Rhinolophus ferrumequinum: one gene and its partner. The protein of the gene in region 1 binds, or shares a complex with, the protein of each later gene. Links are inferred from orthologs where the notes say so. Each region holds a gene or a part of one and is shown on either strand. Other genes may lie near its edges. The genes, in order: DYDC2 and NME5.

The links.
Region 2: the proteins of DYDC2 (region 1) and NME5 are in contact, whole or in part, in a cryo-EM structure (PDB 8X2U), measured with the Mus musculus proteins. The link is inferred for Rhinolophus ferrumequinum from reciprocal best matches to the Homo sapiens genes DYDC2 and NME5. Residues at the interface, in NP_001347537.1 of Mus musculus: Asp2, Tyr5, Leu6, Cys9, Phe10, Gly13, Leu14, Leu18, Val21, Ala22, Arg23, Val24, Arg25, Pro26, Asp28, Pro29, Ile30, Glu31, Leu33, Ala34, His35, Leu37, Tyr38, Tyr40, Arg41; in NP_542368.2 of Mus musculus: Arg140, Ala145, Val146, Ile147, Ile151, Pro152, Ala156, Ala157, Tyr160, Ile161, Tyr164, Val165, Thr168, Leu169, Leu173, Leu176, Cys177, Lys180, Pro181, Asp183, Pro184, Tyr185, Leu186, Leu188, Ala189, Asp190, Leu192, Met193, Asn196, Pro197.

Annotation. Positions count from the first base shown.
Region 1 is NC_046299.1:56,293,231-56,301,638, forward strand, and holds the start of DYDC2 (DPY30 domain-containing protein 2), read left to right. Parts: upstream 1-4,737; 5' UTR 4,738-4,744; coding exon 4,745-4,891; intron 4,892-5,235; coding exon 5,236-5,355; intron 5,356-8,333; coding exon 8,334-8,408.
Region 2 is NC_046307.1:13,295,198-13,303,183, reverse strand, and holds the start of NME5 (nucleoside diphosphate kinase homolog 5), read left to right. Parts: upstream 1-4,835; 5' UTR 4,836-4,892; intron 4,893-4,899; exon of another isoform or gene 4,900-5,339; intron 5,340-5,480; 5' UTR 5,481-5,524; coding exon 5,525-5,653; intron 5,654-7,986. Other genes in the region: bromodomain-containing protein 8-like, read left to right, coding at 1,096-1,185, 1,284-1,352, 3,372-3,549, 4,094-4,144. UniProt on the Homo sapiens protein: Functions as part of axonemal radial spoke complexes that play an important part in the motility of sperm and cilia. Does not seem to have nucleoside diphosphate kinase (NDPK) activity.

The DNA of each region.
Region 1 (8,408 bases):
AGCCATTGGCCACTAATATAACTGCTGTGGCTACGCTAGCAGCAAATGGAGGCTAGCAAGAGGATGGTGGCTGAGCTAGTCAGAGTGGATTGCAGTTAGCACGGTGGAGTGCAGCTAGCAAGTGGGGTTGGTTGGTTGACAGAGAAGCGGACAGCAGGTTGCAGGTCGTGTGGATCCTGTTTCCTGTGTCTCCAACCCAGCCACCAGCGAGAATATAATGGTATGACTCCCCTATCTATGGCTCTGTGGGTGTTCCTTTTTGGCCTCACCATTTCCTGTGTTCTTATGTGGGGAGCAGGACCAGAGACTCCGCCTGACACCCTGCATGACAGCTTGTCTGGGTGGGCTCACAAGCATCAGAGCCCTGGCAGATGAAGAAGTATTTACTGAGCACACACTGTGTGCCTAGCACTGGGAATAGAGTGTGAACAAAGATACTCTCCATGCTTATTGCTCTGCCTACTGTGTGCAAGGCCATGGGCAAGGGGACCCTTCAGACCCTCTGAAGAGCTCTGGGAGACTCCAAAATATAGCCCCCTCCCGCTTGGTGAGTGTGCCCGGAGTTGGTCGGGAGTGGGCTGTAAAAGTCCCCTTTGCCCCCTCCCTCTCCAGGCCTTACATTGTGGCACTGTTATTGTGGCTCTGCTGTCTTTGCATCAAGTCTTAGTAACTGTCAGATCAACATATTTCATTGAGACCATTGTTGAAAATGTGCAATTTGGAGCAGATGCTTCCTCCAGAAAGGGTGACAGCCACCCAAGGACTGGAAGTAGAGAGGCTTCCTGGGAATGCAAAATTGATAATTCGACTCTCTGGGAAGGGCAGTTCTACAATGATAAAGGCAAAGTAGACTTGTGACTTCGAATCACCTGGGGATTTTGTTAAACTGTAGACTGAATCATTAGGCCTGGTATGGACCTTGAAAATCTGCATTTCAGCAAGCCCCCAGGTGATGCAAGCCCCCAGGGGATGTAGAAGGTAGTTTATCCAAGTGCATTGGTTCAGGTGGACCACAGATTAGCAGAAAGAGACAACATATACCCCTGTCTCCAACTTCACCACTATCCCTGTGGGAGAGGAGGAAACTTTCCTCTACGCTCAGGGTTTTTTCAGCTGGTCTAATAATCAATTAGAGATGAGACAGATGAAGAGATTTTCAGTAATTAGAAGTTTTCCCTGCCCTACCGATTGGTCAAAAAATGTTATCTCTGATAATCTCTTATTATGGGCAAGGCCCCTAATTCAAGTTCTAGGTAGTTAAGTGGGAAGGGCAGAAGTTTCTCTTGAGCCCACAGGTTGCCTTCAGCTCAAAACAATCTGCGTGCCATAGAGGCACATCTTGGGGTGACTCATTCTGAATCCCTATACCCCAAACTTAGTGACTTCAAGTACACGTTTATTCTTTTAAAGTTTTTGAAGTCAGAAATCTAAAATGAGTCTTACAGCGCTAAAACCAAGTATTGGCAGGGCTCGTTCCTTCTAGAAGCTCTAGAGGAGAATCCATTTCCTCGCCTTTTCCAGCTTCTAGAGGCTACCTACATTCCTTGGCTCATGGCTCCGAATCACATCACCTTTTCTCCCTCTGTTCTGTCATCACATCTCCTTCTCTGTCTGATCTTACTGTGTCCCTCTTATAAAGACCCTTGTCATTACATTGGGCCTGCCTGGATAATTCAGATAATCTCCCTAAATCAAAATTCTTAATTGAATCACATCTGCGAAGTCCTTCCATATAGGGTAACATACATTACAAGTTCCAGGTATTAGGACTTAGACACTTTTGTGAGCCATTTTTCATCCCTGTTATACTGTGTATTTCCTTAAATGAAGGACATTTTCTTACTCATATTTCAATTACCAAAACCAGGAAATTTGACTTTGATTTAATTCTATTATGTGGTCTACAATTCATGTTCAGTTTATCCAATTTTCCTAACACTGTCCATTATGGAATTTTCTTTTTTTTTCCTGGTCCAGATCCAATCAAGGATCATGTATTGCATGCCTATTTAGGCTCCTTTAATCTGGAATGGCTCCTCCTCTTGTCTTTCATGACCTTGGCATTTTTAAGAGTACAGGTCAGTTGTATACTGTCTCTCAATTTGACTTTATTTGATGTTTCCTCAATCAGATTCAAGTTTTGCATTGGGGGCAGGAATCCACAGAAGTGTATTATGTCCCACTAAGAAGTGTATCACATCAGGAGACACACTATGTCACTTTGCCCCTTATTGGGGATGTTTACTTTGATCCTCTGGTTAAAGTTGTGGTGACCAGGTTCTATCACTGTAAAGTTTCTGTATTTCCCTTGGAAAGTAATACATAATTTGTAGGGGAGAAACTTCGAGATTATATAAATATCCTATCCCTTGTCAAATGTTGTCTGAGTTTTAGTCTTCACAGATAATTCTGGCTTGATTCAGTTATACTATGGTGGTTACAGTATGGTGATTTTTTAAAAAAAAACTCCATTATTCTTTCCACATTTATTAGTTGGCATTCTACTTTAAGAAAGAACTTACTGTATATCACATTACGAAATTATTTATTCTTATGTGGATTCATGAATTCTTATTTTACTCCAAGGAGTCCTGATTTCTCTTTTAAGTGGTGACAGCTATTTAAGGAGAAGTTCTGAATGCTTAGTGTGCTTGCTGCTTACTGAGGTGTTTTTGCTTCTAGGACTTTGCGATGGGAAGAGCTAGGAAATATATATATTTTTCTATACTCATATCTATCTATCAATCATCTATCTATCTAGCTTTCCTTCTTTAAACTGAAAAATGCCTCCGGAAAATGTTGATTGTGTCGTGGCGTGTAATTAACCCCTGGGCATTCACAAAACGTGAAAGCATTCACAGACTCTACTACAAAGGAAGTTTTTATTGAAGTTAGGGCACAGAGAGAATGCCCATGGCAGTGTCCAAAAATGATTGCTGCCACAGGTTGTCAGAAGAGAAACACCAGCGTGGTGGCGGTGGAGGTGGGGTGTGTGTCATGGGGCAGAGTCTAGAATCTGAGAGTGGGCAGCTGCTCCTAACTTCAGGTTAGCTTTTTCTTATATAGGAAAGGGGAAGTCGGTTAGGCAGGTTCGAGGGCTGACATCCTTCCTGGGGTCTGGTCTGTTTGAAGACAATGTTATCTCCGGACTGGGACGCGGCCATCGAGGCCTGGGACTTGAATGCGTCACCAGTAAAAACTGCGAGGGAGTTGTCAATTGGATTCCGGTGTCCGGGCACCTGAGGATTAAGAAATTGCCCTTTCCAGGTTGGGATTCTGTTGATTAAATGGATTAAGGAGGTATGGGTAGCCTTGAGAAAGGGAACAATCAGAGTTCTTCAGCTAATCAGTGAGGGGAGAAACAAGGAGAAAACAGCTGAATATCAGGATGGATCAAACTGCAAACAAAGTAAGTGTAATTACAGGTGGCTGGATAGTGAGCTATGCGGTAAGTTAAACTGCAAACTAGCTAAGTTTAACTACATTATTGATTCCCTAAATTTCACCCTTACAGATTGGATCTGAGACTTAATTAGTCACTTTATCATTAGCTCTTTTGGAGGTAAGATATGTAAACTTCAGGAACATGGGGTTGGTGAGGAATAGGCCAGATTTTAGGGCATTTCATATCACAATATTCCACTGTAATAGCTAATATTTATTAAGCACTTACTATATGCCAGGCTAAGTGCTTTAGATGCATTTATTATTTCCTTTAATCCTCATAATTACGAGGCACATACTTTCGTTCTTCTGTTCTCCAGATGAGAAAACCAAGGCTCACAGGAGCTGGTGACTTGCTGAAGATCACACAGCTAATTAAATGGCAGAAGCAGGAACTTGGTCTGTCTGATCCCAGAGTCTGTATTCATACTGCTGCACTACACTGCCTCTCCTCACTGTGGTCTAACGCAGGCTACACTGCCTCCAGCTCTTGAAATCTGAATAATAGTGAATCAGCTCAACCTAAAGTAGTTCCTTGCTTAAGCAGTAGAGTAGAATATGGTGTTTAGTGCTGGCAGAGCCCCGGACCAGCAGCAGCTACAATGCCCAGCATTTGCCATCCCTCTCCTCCCCAGGGCTTCTCAGTGGTCCCTTGTGAAATAAATAAGCCCATCTTATCTAGGTCACAGATGACTATAGCTCCTGACCTCACAAGAGCACAGCTTGCTGGGTGCTCAGCCCCTTCAGGACTCATGCCTTCTCAGTTATTTCCTCTCCACTCAAGGGTAGAAATGTGTGGGTAAGTGGAGGCCTTAGCCACCGTGAACCACCAATCTGTGAAGCTCCTGTCAGGCCTGATGACCCCTAGGACCTATTACTATCTGACCTAGGATAATTTCTCCCCTTGAGTGGAGAGGAAATAGCTGAGAAGGCACAGGTCCCAGAGGGGCTCTGAGCACCCAGCAAGCTGTGCTCTTGTGAGGTCGGGAGCTGCAGTCTCTATGACATAGGTGAGCTAGGCTTACTTATTTCACAAGGGACCACTGAGAAGCCCTGGGGAGGAGAGGGATGGCAAATGCTGGGCATTGTAGCTGCTGCTGGTCACGGGCTCTGCTAGGACAGCTGCACAGCTTTAGAAGAAAGTCCACTTGAGTGTAAGAGCTAGTGGTGTGTTTGTATTTATTTACTCTTTGGGGAAGGGTGGGATCCAGAAACGTCTCATGGAATGTGTTTATTTTTAAAATCAAATTAGATTTGTAAAATAGTGTGACTCTGTTTGGATATGTCCCAAGCCCACAGGATGGAAACTGACTACCTGAAGAGGTGCTTTGGAAATTGCCTGGCCCAGGGACTAGCAGAGGTGGCGAAGGTTCGGCCCAGTGACCCCATAGAGTACCTGGCTCACTGGCTTTATCATTACAGGGAAATCACTAAAGCGAAAGAAAAGGTAGGTGTGTATGCGCACTGGGTGGGTTAGGGGAGGGCTTTCCAGCTTTGCCAGAGTAATTTGAAATCCAAGGCAGGATTCTGGAGCTGTCCTGGGGAGTTTCTTGATTTATTCAGCTTGTGAGGGTAACTTAGGCCCTGATATGCTAGAAGGGCAGGAAGCCTGGGAGAGGCTAAAGAAGGAATCCAGCTCACAGGAGTGACAGAATTTGTGGGTTTGGAGCTACTAGCAGGCTAAAGCTAGTTACAAAAGCAGACTCAGGAAGCCTGATGGGCCTGAGGCCAGTCCCAGTGAGAGGGCCCCTTTGTACATGCTTCTGATTCAGCTTTGTCACATCTCCCCAGGATAGACAAGAGAAGATCCAGCTGAAGGAAGAGGATGACAGTAGACTCAAGGAAACCCAAATGGCAGAAATGCTGAAGCAAGAAGAGTGCCAGATTCAACAGAAGTGTGAAGTGTCACAGGTAGGAGAAGAAACCTAGCACACACATCCCAGTGATGGATTCTAGGTAGTCCACCGTCACCCTGATCACCATGCGAAACACACTGAGGCCCCCATTAGCCTACTTTTTCCTCCATGTTCATATGTTTCTATATAAGCCAATCTTATTGACACGACATGACAATCTTTGCCAATAAGATCATTGTCAATGAAAAAGAAAATGTTTAAAGGCAATTCCATTTTAGAGTTTAGGAAATACCTGTGATGTTACTGGTTTAAAGCAAATCAGATTTACAAATAATCTAATCTGTCACTTGGAACAAATATATTTTTATACAAGATCCTTTGAGCCCTTTACAAAAATTATTCAATATTTTTCAGAAACCAAATATGGTTATAAGTATATACTTCAGGTATATTATTTTATTTATTATATACTACTTACTTATTTATTATATGCTGTTTATTTATGCATCAAGCCATAGATGCCACCTCAGTGATGCTGTAATAGTGGTCATAAATTATTAACTTGGAATAGTTGGAGACAACTGAGCATTCATTGGTCTGACAGGCATACGTTTCCTATCCCGTAATTTTTGCCACAATCTTCTGATAAAGGAATCGTTTTGCGTTTCCTACAAAGGACGTGCTATCTGGATAGGGAATTGACTTACTGGGCTTGATATCTGACATCTTTATAACTATCACTATATCCCATGCATTAAAATCTTTAATGCAGTTTTATACAATTAACTAGCTTTTGCTAGTTTCCAAAGCCCACTTTGATGAGACATGAAAATATTAAGCTTATTTACATGTATACAAATATGCTCAGCTTTCCTCATAAACAAGTAATAGATTTTTTTAAGTCTGGATGTTTTATAAATAAATCAAAACAAAGATTGTTTCATACTATTGTTAGACAGTAGTCTAAGTGAGCCCTCCCTTCGGAATGTTCTTAGAATAGTTGTTGGGAGAGGGTAGAGGTGAGATCATTAGGCAAAACTTGGCATCACGTTGCTGCCCACTCAAATCCTTTTCTGACAACATACTGTACTGTTAATAGAAATAGAAATATATAAGGCAGGGAAAGACTCCCAAAACCCCACCCTGGTTTTCTGGTGCCCTTATTAAAGAAAGCTTTGTTCACATCAATATTTTTGAATTGTCCCTTTGTGTTGCACACTCAAGAGGTTTTATGTCCTCTGGCAATGTTCCTTAGCAAGAATCACACGAGTAAAATGTATGCTGTTCTTTGTCCAAGTGTGAGACAACGTCAGTTGTAAGGGAAGATGGAAAATGAGAGTCAGCGTGATGCCTGCACCGTGTGCAAGTGCTCAATTTTAAGAAAGAGTTCATGTCCGAGTTGTGGTTATGATTCCCTTTGTTAGAGGGAACTAGAACCCAACAGTGATCTAAAACAAAGCTGAATTTATTGCTTACTTGGCCAGGGAGAGCCGTGTCACTTAAGTGCAAGTTACTGTGCTAGTATAAACGGAAAGCTGGATAAAGGGCCAAGAGGTGGAGGTACATCCAGTTAGACAAGATTCTAAGTTCTGGTTTCTTGGTGGCTAAAAGTGAATTGCAAACTATTCCTTGCTATTGATCACCTTCAGATTCTGTGTCACTAGTGCTATAAAACCTGGTCTTAAACAGGCCCAGGATGGGTTGCAGAAGATTTCAGCAGACTTGATTTCGCTGACGGGCCTATATGCACATAGTCAAAGCTTTACAAGATTTTAAAAAATATCTTCGAACCACCATTGCTTGCATATACCTTACAAAGTCTTCGAGTCGCCCAGATTGAATACTACTGGTCCAGTGGATATGTCGAAAGAGGAGTAGAAATGAGCACTATGTTTGGTAGAGGTCATATCCAATTATAGCAATCAAAAAGGGATTCACAGAGGAGGTGACCTGTGAGTCAGACCTCGAAGAAAGCTGGCGTAAGTGGCCCTTGTCTTGGTTTCTCTACATTAAGCAGAGGCAGATTTGAGCAAGTAAACCATAATTCTGTTTCTAAATCTGAAAGCAATCCCTTTGTTTATAAAGATCTGAGCCATATAAATGTTTTAGAAATACATTTTTATAGAATTAGCACACATATATGCTGCATAGACTCACAGCACTTGAAGTTAGAGGGGTCTTAGAGGTTATGTGGGTAATCTTCACAGACCTCTCGGCAGTGCCCCACGGGGTCCACTGCAGAATGCTCTCCTGGGGCTTCTGGGCAAAGAGGGAGGTAGAGGTAGGTGTCCAGTAGAGTTTAAGCTCAAAGGATTCCAACCTCAACCGGGGACTGAAATTGCATGGACATTAGACTGCTTGTTATTGCTTCATAGGTCACTGAGACGATGTTTATTTTTCAATCTTTTTCCCTCTGTACCTCAGTTTGGATGATTTCTATTGATCTGTCTTCAAGTTTACTGACCCTTTCTTCTGCAATGTCTGATGCCCTATTTAGAGATTTGGTGAATTTTTTTTCATTTTGGATACTGTACTTTTCAATTCTAAAATTTCTATTTCCAATTTTTTTCTACTGATATACCCTTTCTTTTCACTCATTATGTTCATTTTTCTCCTTTAAACTTTTGAAAGTATTTGTAATAGCTGTTTTAAGTCTTTGTCTGCTAATTCCATCATCTTTGTCATTTTGGGGTCTCTTTCTATTAAGTGCTTTCTAGATTATGGTTCACATTTTCCTACTTCGTCACATGTCTAGTAATTATTATGTGGATGTTGAATATTGTAGATGATACTTTGTAGGAGTCTAGATTGTGTTTTCCTTTAACAGGTGTTGAGTTTTGTTCTGGCAAGCAGTTAAATTATTGCTGAGTTATCTTGATCCTATCAGATTTTTGTTTTATGCTTTGCTGGAGCATGTCTGTTTCCACTTTGTCTTTAGTCTTGGGTGTGAAAATGGCAATATTGTGTTCTTGCCATACCAAGTGTGTTTTAGACTCTGCTAATGACTTTTTTGCTTTTTTGTTCTCTATTTAGCCACTGATATCTATAGCTAGTTCCACAAAGACCATCTTCATGCAGGAGAACACAAAACCCCTTGAAAAGGAGGTC
Region 2 (7,986 bases), on another chromosome or scaffold:
AAATATCTGTTGCGTGGATGTGTGAATTAAATTGCACCAGTACCAAGGAGTTATTGTTCATTCTGGTTGACTAATCAGAAATGAAGAGGTTTTGGGGGGCGCTTTAAGTTTCTTGTTCTGATAGGGTTCTGTGTTGAAGGAAAAGTTGATCTTTGTGGTATATAATTTAGATGCAGGTGAGATATTGCATGGTGAAAATGAATAGTTATGTGGAGCTGCTCAAATTGCAGAAAGATAAAATGATATGTGAGTTATGCTCAGATCGATATGCACAATATGGTACATAAAGCAAAATGAGGATGTGAAACCTTAGGTGTGAAGAGAACTCATTTAGAAAAAATAGTACAGTGGATAAAGTGGGAAGTGTAACCTCATGTTTAACTTTGAAGTAAATAGAAAACTTGCCAACTGGGAAAATTACAAAATGAAATAAAATATTGAACAATTGCATGTCTGAAGAAAAACGAACTAAATTCGACAGTTTAGCCCAGAGAAGGAAGTGCCATGAAGATAAATGACTTAGGTGTTTTAAAGATTACTATACAGAGGAGAACGAAAAGGAAAAATATTTAATTGTGTGGCATTCAGATGAAACGTAAGAGAATTCCTTGGAATCTGTAATCAAATATTTCCTTCTCTGGAAATATGGGTGAGAGAGATACTTATTAATGTGGCATATTTCTGCATAAAACAGGACCAGATTCATTTATCAAAAACTTAATTGAGCTTCTACTATGTGCCAGGCAGTTGGGAAACATCAGTGAACAAAGACTACTTTCATAGACCAGTTCTTTAGAGTCACAGGTGCTGAAGAGCAAAATCAGCAAGAGATCAAAAGGCCCAGGCAATTGTAGATTTGTAATACATTTTATAAAAGGTAACCACTTCATTGGGTTATAGTGATCAGTAAGAGAACACTTATAGAGTTTGGGGTCCCTTATGGAAGCATTAAATATCTTCATATTCTTACGGTATTACATTTCCTTCAGATGTTAATTAGGAGCAGTGTGTCTTGAGAAAGCCTCATGTCCACCTGGGGGAGGCAGAATGCCCTTTGCGAAGTTACTGTTTCTTTTCTGTCGTGTTATCCCATAGGTCTGATTTAAGCCAGAGCGATCCTGTTCAGGATCACTTGCTATTTAAGAAGACTGTCCTGTCAGTCTGGAAGATGATTGCCAGTCACAGGTAGGTCTCCAAGCCATTCTTCGTGTTCACAGCCACTCTTCTTATTCAGAGTGACTTTCCAGGGTTTCTTCTTACATTCTGGGTTTGTCCCCTAACAGGTTCAGTGGTCCATTTCTGAAGCCTGTGTCAGAAAGGCAGGCCCCAGGATACAAGGATGTGGTGAAAAGGTCAGTGGAAAAGGGGTCAAGAAAGGCTTCTTGCTTTTATATCTGTCTTTTTGTACTTTATTTCCCATATATTAGATTATTTCTTATTTCATTTACATTACTTACAAACTCAAGATGTATTTTACAGCTGAACAAGTTTGCAAAGTTATGGTGTGTTCAGTCTGCTTTTGAGAAGGAATGCAGGGAACACAAGGATAATGCAGGCTCTTTTTTTCCCAGTGTTGATTTTTAAGTAATGTGATCCATTATAATCTTAGCCTTTGGTAGTTTTTGACACTGTTTTTTGGAGCAAAACTTTAAAAGGAACGCTGTATTCATTCTGGTCGTTATAGGTACTCATATGCTAAGGCAAAGATGATAATCCAAATGATGTGACCAACATTGGTTGATTGCAGTATTTTTTATTTTTATAGCATATTTCATCTAAAATACTGTCACAAACCAGTGTGTTACTGTATAAAAGGTCAGGAAAAGACGTTTGGAGACAGACTTGTTCTATAGACGAGGAAACTAAAGCTCAGAGGTGATGATGACTTGTCTGTGATAACAGTGCCTAGCAGAGCTGGAACTGACCCCCAGATTCTTACCTCCCCATTCAGTTCTCTTTCTACACTGCTGTGCCTTCCCTTATATACCCACTGTCTGGGTCTCATTAATAATTTGTCTTGGAGTGGCTAGGTAGCTCAGTTAGTTAGAGCGTGGTGCTGGTTGCACCGAGGTTGCTGGTTCGATCCCTGCATGGGTCACTGTGAGTTGTGCCCTCCTTGAAAAAAAATAAAAGAAATTGCCTGCTACTTAGGAAAAAACTAAGGGCTGGCCCGGTGGCTCAGGCGGTTAGAGCTCCATGCTCCTAACGCCGAAGGCTGCCGGTTCGATTCCCACATGGGCCAGTGGGCTCTCAACCACAAGGTTGCCAGTTCAATTCCTCGATTCCCGCAAGGGATGGTGGGCAGCGCCCCCTGCAACTAAGATTGAACATGGCACCTTGAGCTGAGCTGCCTCCCGGATGGCTCAGTTGGAGCGCATCCTCTCAACCACAAGGTTGGCAGTTTGATTCCTCAACTTCCGCAAGGAATGGTGGTCAGCGCCCCCTGCAACTAAAATTGAACACAGCACCTTGAGCTGTGAGCTGCTGCTGAGCTCCCAGATGGCTCAGTTGGTTGGAGCTCTTCCTCTCAACCACAAAGTTGCCGGTTCGACTCCCCCAAGGGATGGTGGGCTGTGCCCCCTGCAACTAGAAACGGCAACTGGACCTGGGGCTGAGCTGCGCCCTCCACAACTAAGTCTGAAAGGACAACAACTTGAAGCTGAACGGCACCCTCCACAACTAAGATTGAAAGGACAACAACTGGATTTGGAAAAAAGTCCTGGAAGTACACACTGTTCCCCAATAAAGTCCTGTTCCCCTTCCCCAATAAAATCTTAAAAAAAAAAATTGTCTTAATATTTGCTTGATTCTCACTCTTCATCTCCATGAAAGGAGAAAAAACTTATTAGCTTTTGATTATGCAATAAGAGAAGTATGTTAATGCCTAGTATATGGCTATACATTGTAAACAGTTGTTAACTACCATATGACAAACTGATCGTTGGAGTTCTTTACAAATTTAGTACCTGGGGTCACCACTACTCCTGCAGTAGTAGAATGCAATGGCTGGGCCTGTGGATTTTGGAGTCAGGCTGCCTTTGAATTGGAATCCAAGCTGTGTGACCTTGAGCAAGTACTTACCCTCTTTAGATCTCGGTTCCCTCACTGCCAATTGGTGATAATAATGGTACCTGTTTTATGGGTTAATTGGGAGGTTTATGGGAGTTAATATAGAAAGTTACCTAACATAGTGCTTGGCCTATTGTAAGTAGTAGCAGTCCAATGATATTTTTTTAAAAAAGCTGTTGCTTTTTATATTAACTGTTGGGGATTGTTTTCATTAAGAGCTAGTTCTCCAAGACAGCATATTAGGTTACCACATGTTCTACATGAAGGTTTGATTTCCTCTGGTTTCTCTTGGCCACCTGTAGACCCATGGACTTAACGACCCTGAAAAGGAATCTGTCTAAGGGACGGATTCGCACCATGGCACAGTTCCAGCGGGACCTGATGCTGATGTTCCAAAATGCTGTGATGTACAATGACTCTGATCATCATGTGTACCATATGGCTGTGGAGATGCAGCGAGAAGTCTTGGAGCAGATTCAGGTACTGTATGTAGAGAGTTGCCTGAAAAAGGAGTGTAATCTCTGGAACCTGATTTAGAAAGTGAGAATAAGGGTGATGTTGAAGTGTTTCCAGATTTTATATTTAGAGGTGATTCAAGGCCCTGAAGGACTGACCTTGTACGTACTGGTTTGGAAAACCTGGAGCCTCAGTAGGACCAGCCTTAATAGTGAAGCAAAGTAGTCTAGGAAGGCAGGCAGCTGAAGAGCTCTGAAGAGGGCTGTAATGGTAATGGGAGCTCCTGCTTCCAGAGCCTCAAGCCAGAGTGCTAAACATGCAAACCAGAGGCTGGAGTCACTGTCCATTTTTTGGTTGCTACACCTGTTGATATTAATGTATGTTCACACTGTCCCATCGATACGGGGATAAGACACAGTAATCAGAAAACATCTGAAGGTTTCTTTTCTGGGTAGCATCATATTTTTAAGGAAAAAACGTAGTCAGATCTCATTGCAGAAAAATAAAATTGCATTCAAACCTCTGTAGCTTTTAAGCCTCATAGTTTGCTTCTGCCTTGACCCTATAGGTGCTGAGTACTTGGTTAGTCAAAAGAAGAGACTTAAATAGTCCAGAATGAGAATCAGCCAACCCAGTGCGTGATGGAAAACCTGTTTGGTTAACCTGGAGCTGCTACCCTGACCCTTTCTGAAATTTGGACCTCTCATTGAGACTCTGACCCAGAGAAGGTCCCAGCACTTGTCTATCATTTCCCTGTTGTCTTTTCTAATAATAAGGCCTTAACTCACAACCAAAGGTACCTGTGGACAAAATATAAGGGAAAAGGGGCAAGCTGTGATTTGGGGTTATACCATAAATGTTGCCCGTATCTTGTTCCATAGGCTTAATTTAGAGGTAACTAGTTTAAACCGCTTATTACTGCTCTATAAATAAATGTTATACCACAAGTTGAAGACTGCTTTTTAATGATTACAGAAGCTGGGAATAGAGGGGATAGCATCATCTGGTGAAATGAAGCTATTTGACGTGGGTTTTCTTACATTGTCTGGAAAGTGATGGGGTGGGGTGAGGAGGGGGTGATTATGATTTGTCTCATCGTTTATAAAATGGAGATAATTGAAGCAGCCTTAAAATGAGTAGGAGGGTGAAATAGGATGAATTATGAGGAAAATGTAAGAAAACGCCTAGTGCTCTAAGATTCTTAAGGGGGATAAAACTACCTGTGGCTGGCTCCCTTTCATGATTGAACCGGTAAGAGGCTGTGAAGTGACGCTGCTCGGATTGGCCCTCTGCAGCCACCGTCCCTCAGCTGGGCTTCGGGTCTCCTAGCAATAAGTTGTGGTCGCACCTGAGGAGTGAGTGCTGAGGTGAGTACACGACGGAAGGTCGGACTCGGAATCTGCGGGTGCAGCCGGGAGAAGTCCGGGGACTTAGGGATGCTACTTTCCAACCAGACCTGACCCTATGCATAGCCGTCCCGGCGAGGCGGGGCGGGGTGGGGCGAGGCTGCTCAACCTGCAGCTGGAGAATCGCGGAGAGTTGCCAACCGGTCTCCAGCTGCTGCCTTAGTCTGCGCGAGTCCCAGGCCTTTGGATTGCCCTGTGGCCTCTCCACCTTGATGAAAATGTTTAGGAAAGCCTAAGGCACGGCTTAACTGCAGAGTAGAAATCGTATTACAGTCATACCTCATTTTATTGCGCTTTAGGCGATTCACAGGTATTGGGTGTTTTACAAACTGAAGGCAAGACTCTCCACCATCAAATAGAGAACGACTCGCTTTACTGCGATCGAAGACAACCTGCAATGTCTTCGAGGTATGCCTGTGTTCAGACACTGCTTATAGAAAAAGATTGCAGTTTCTAAGTTTATATAAATTAATAAAATCAGGCGCCTAACAATGCTGTTCTTAATCATAATTACATTAAATTTGAGGTTGGGATTGCATATCATTGCAGTTGATACCTGTCAAGACTCTTAAATTATATCCTGAAAACCCACAATGGAGCTGTCGATGCCCCCACCTCAGATATACGTAGAAAAATCTCTGGCCATTATCAAACCAGATATTGTTGACAAAGAGGAGGAGATACAAGATATTATTCTCAGATCTGGATTCACCATTGTTCAGGTAACTTCTGGGCATGATCATTGTGTTCTTTTCTCTCATTGATCCTTTTTTTTAATGTTTATGTATTAGCATTAATTTAGCATTAAATTTAGGTTTATTCTAACTATAAAAGTTACATGTGATAGTATTTAAGTTTTGTCACACTTCAAAAGTATATAAAATGCAAAGTAAAATTCCTTTTCCCTCCACCTGTCCTCACCCACGCCACATCCCAGTCTCCAGAGAGAGGCAACGACTTAATACTTTCTGTTCTTCCAGGATTTTTCTATGTATTCCCAGACATTTTCCCCCATAAAATAGGACAGTGCCCCACCTTTGATCCTGTTTACAAAGTCCCTCAGATAGCAATTTCAGATTATTACATCTGAATGTAACTCATTCTTCCTAAGTTTTGTTTCATATACCCCTGTGTGGATGAATCACAATTTGTTTATTTGGTCCTCTATGGATGGACTTTAAGACTTTTGGATTTTTTTCCTTTATTACAAACATTTAATGTTTTAAGCCTTACACTTGCTCTGCAGTTGTTAGAGGTTTGAAAATGAATGTAAAAAGAATAAAGATTATCAAATAGAATTGAGTATATTTAATCTTCCTTTTTTGTACCATCCTTATTTGAAATTTCAGTTTTTAGTCTCTTATGTAATATTACTTATTTAATCAGTGTTTTAAAAAATAAAAAAGAGAAAACTTCAATCTTTAGGAAAGATGGGATTTTAGTTGAATTTAGGATAGGTGGAGGCTGAGGGTAAGGATGGTACAAGAAAATGTAAGGAAAGATGTACAGGAAATTATAAGAAAATATTTAATATAGTAATTAAAAGACCCAGGTAAAAATGAACTTTTTAATGAATGTTGTTAGGAAAACTAGGTAGCCATTAAAAAAAAAGTTGTATTCAAGTATGATACTGTATACACCGGGATAAACTTCAAATGGATTGGAATTTTAAATATTAAAAAATTAAACCATACAAATTCTAGAAGAAAAGATGGATGAGTTTCTTTACTCTTGGAATGGACAGCCATTTTTTATTATGACTTAGTCTAGGAAATATGAAAGAAAAGATTAATAAGATTATAAATTTAAAAAAGTTCTGCATGGCCAAATAAAAACTATAAGCAAAGTCAAAATACAAATGACAAACTTAGAAAAAAGATTTGCAATTCATATTGCAGACAGAGGGCTAATCTCCCTAATATATAAAGAACTCGAAAAAGATAAAAATTCAGTTGAAAATGGGCAGAACATACGGAGGATCAGAGAAAAAGAAAACAGATGCTTCTTGAAAATATGAAAAGATTCTCAATAAGTGGGGGAAAAAACAAATTAAAGTGACACTGAGCTACTACAGTATATGGCAAAAATGTAAAAGTGAATGGCACAACCCCCATAGAAGGGAACCTGACAATTATTTATCAATATTACAGATGTATTTATTTACCCTTAGACCCAGCAGTCCTACTTCTGGGAATTCCACCCATAATCTGTGTATTAATATCAAGTGACATATATACAGGTTACTTTTTGCAGCATTGTTTATTTACCAGCAAAAGATTGAAAACAGTCCAGTATTAGCAGAATGGTTAAATCAACTCTGGCAAAGACACCAAGTTGAATACTATGCAACTAACTGTAAAAAGAATAAGGAACCTTTTGGTGCCCTGTTATGGAAAAACAAATGTAATGTGTAGCAATCTTTTGTGATAGAAAGAAAAAAAGTAATATATATTCATGTTTGCTAATATTTGCAAAATGAAACACTAGGATAAATAAGCATTAAAAAATGGTTGCCTATTGAGAGCAAGAACAGTACATTAGGACAGGGAGGGGAATGAGATTTTTCAGCACATATCTTTTTATATTGCTTTGAACTTTTTAACCCTATAAGTGTATTATTCCTTAATTTTAGAAAAAAATTAAATGAAGTATATGAATAAGATAAAGATATACTATTTATGTTTTTTAAAAGTCCATATTTTAAAAAGAATTAGTGACAAACAAACTTAATTAAGTGGTAGTGTTAATCATAAATGAAAAATTAATATAAATGCTAATATTTTGCATTTTACCTAGTGAGCAATGAATTTCAGACCAAGAAGCCCTTGCTGTATTGTGTGCTTTTTTTTGGTTTTAATTGTGGCAAAATACATGCAGCTTAACCATTTGAACCATTTTTAGTTGTAGAGTTCAGTGGAACTAAGTACATTCCCATAGTTGTGAAACCATCACCACCATCCATTTCTAGAACTTTTACATCATCTCAGATTGAAACTCTGTACCCATTAAACACTATCTCTCTGTTTATCCCTCTTCCCAGCCCCTGGTAACCAGT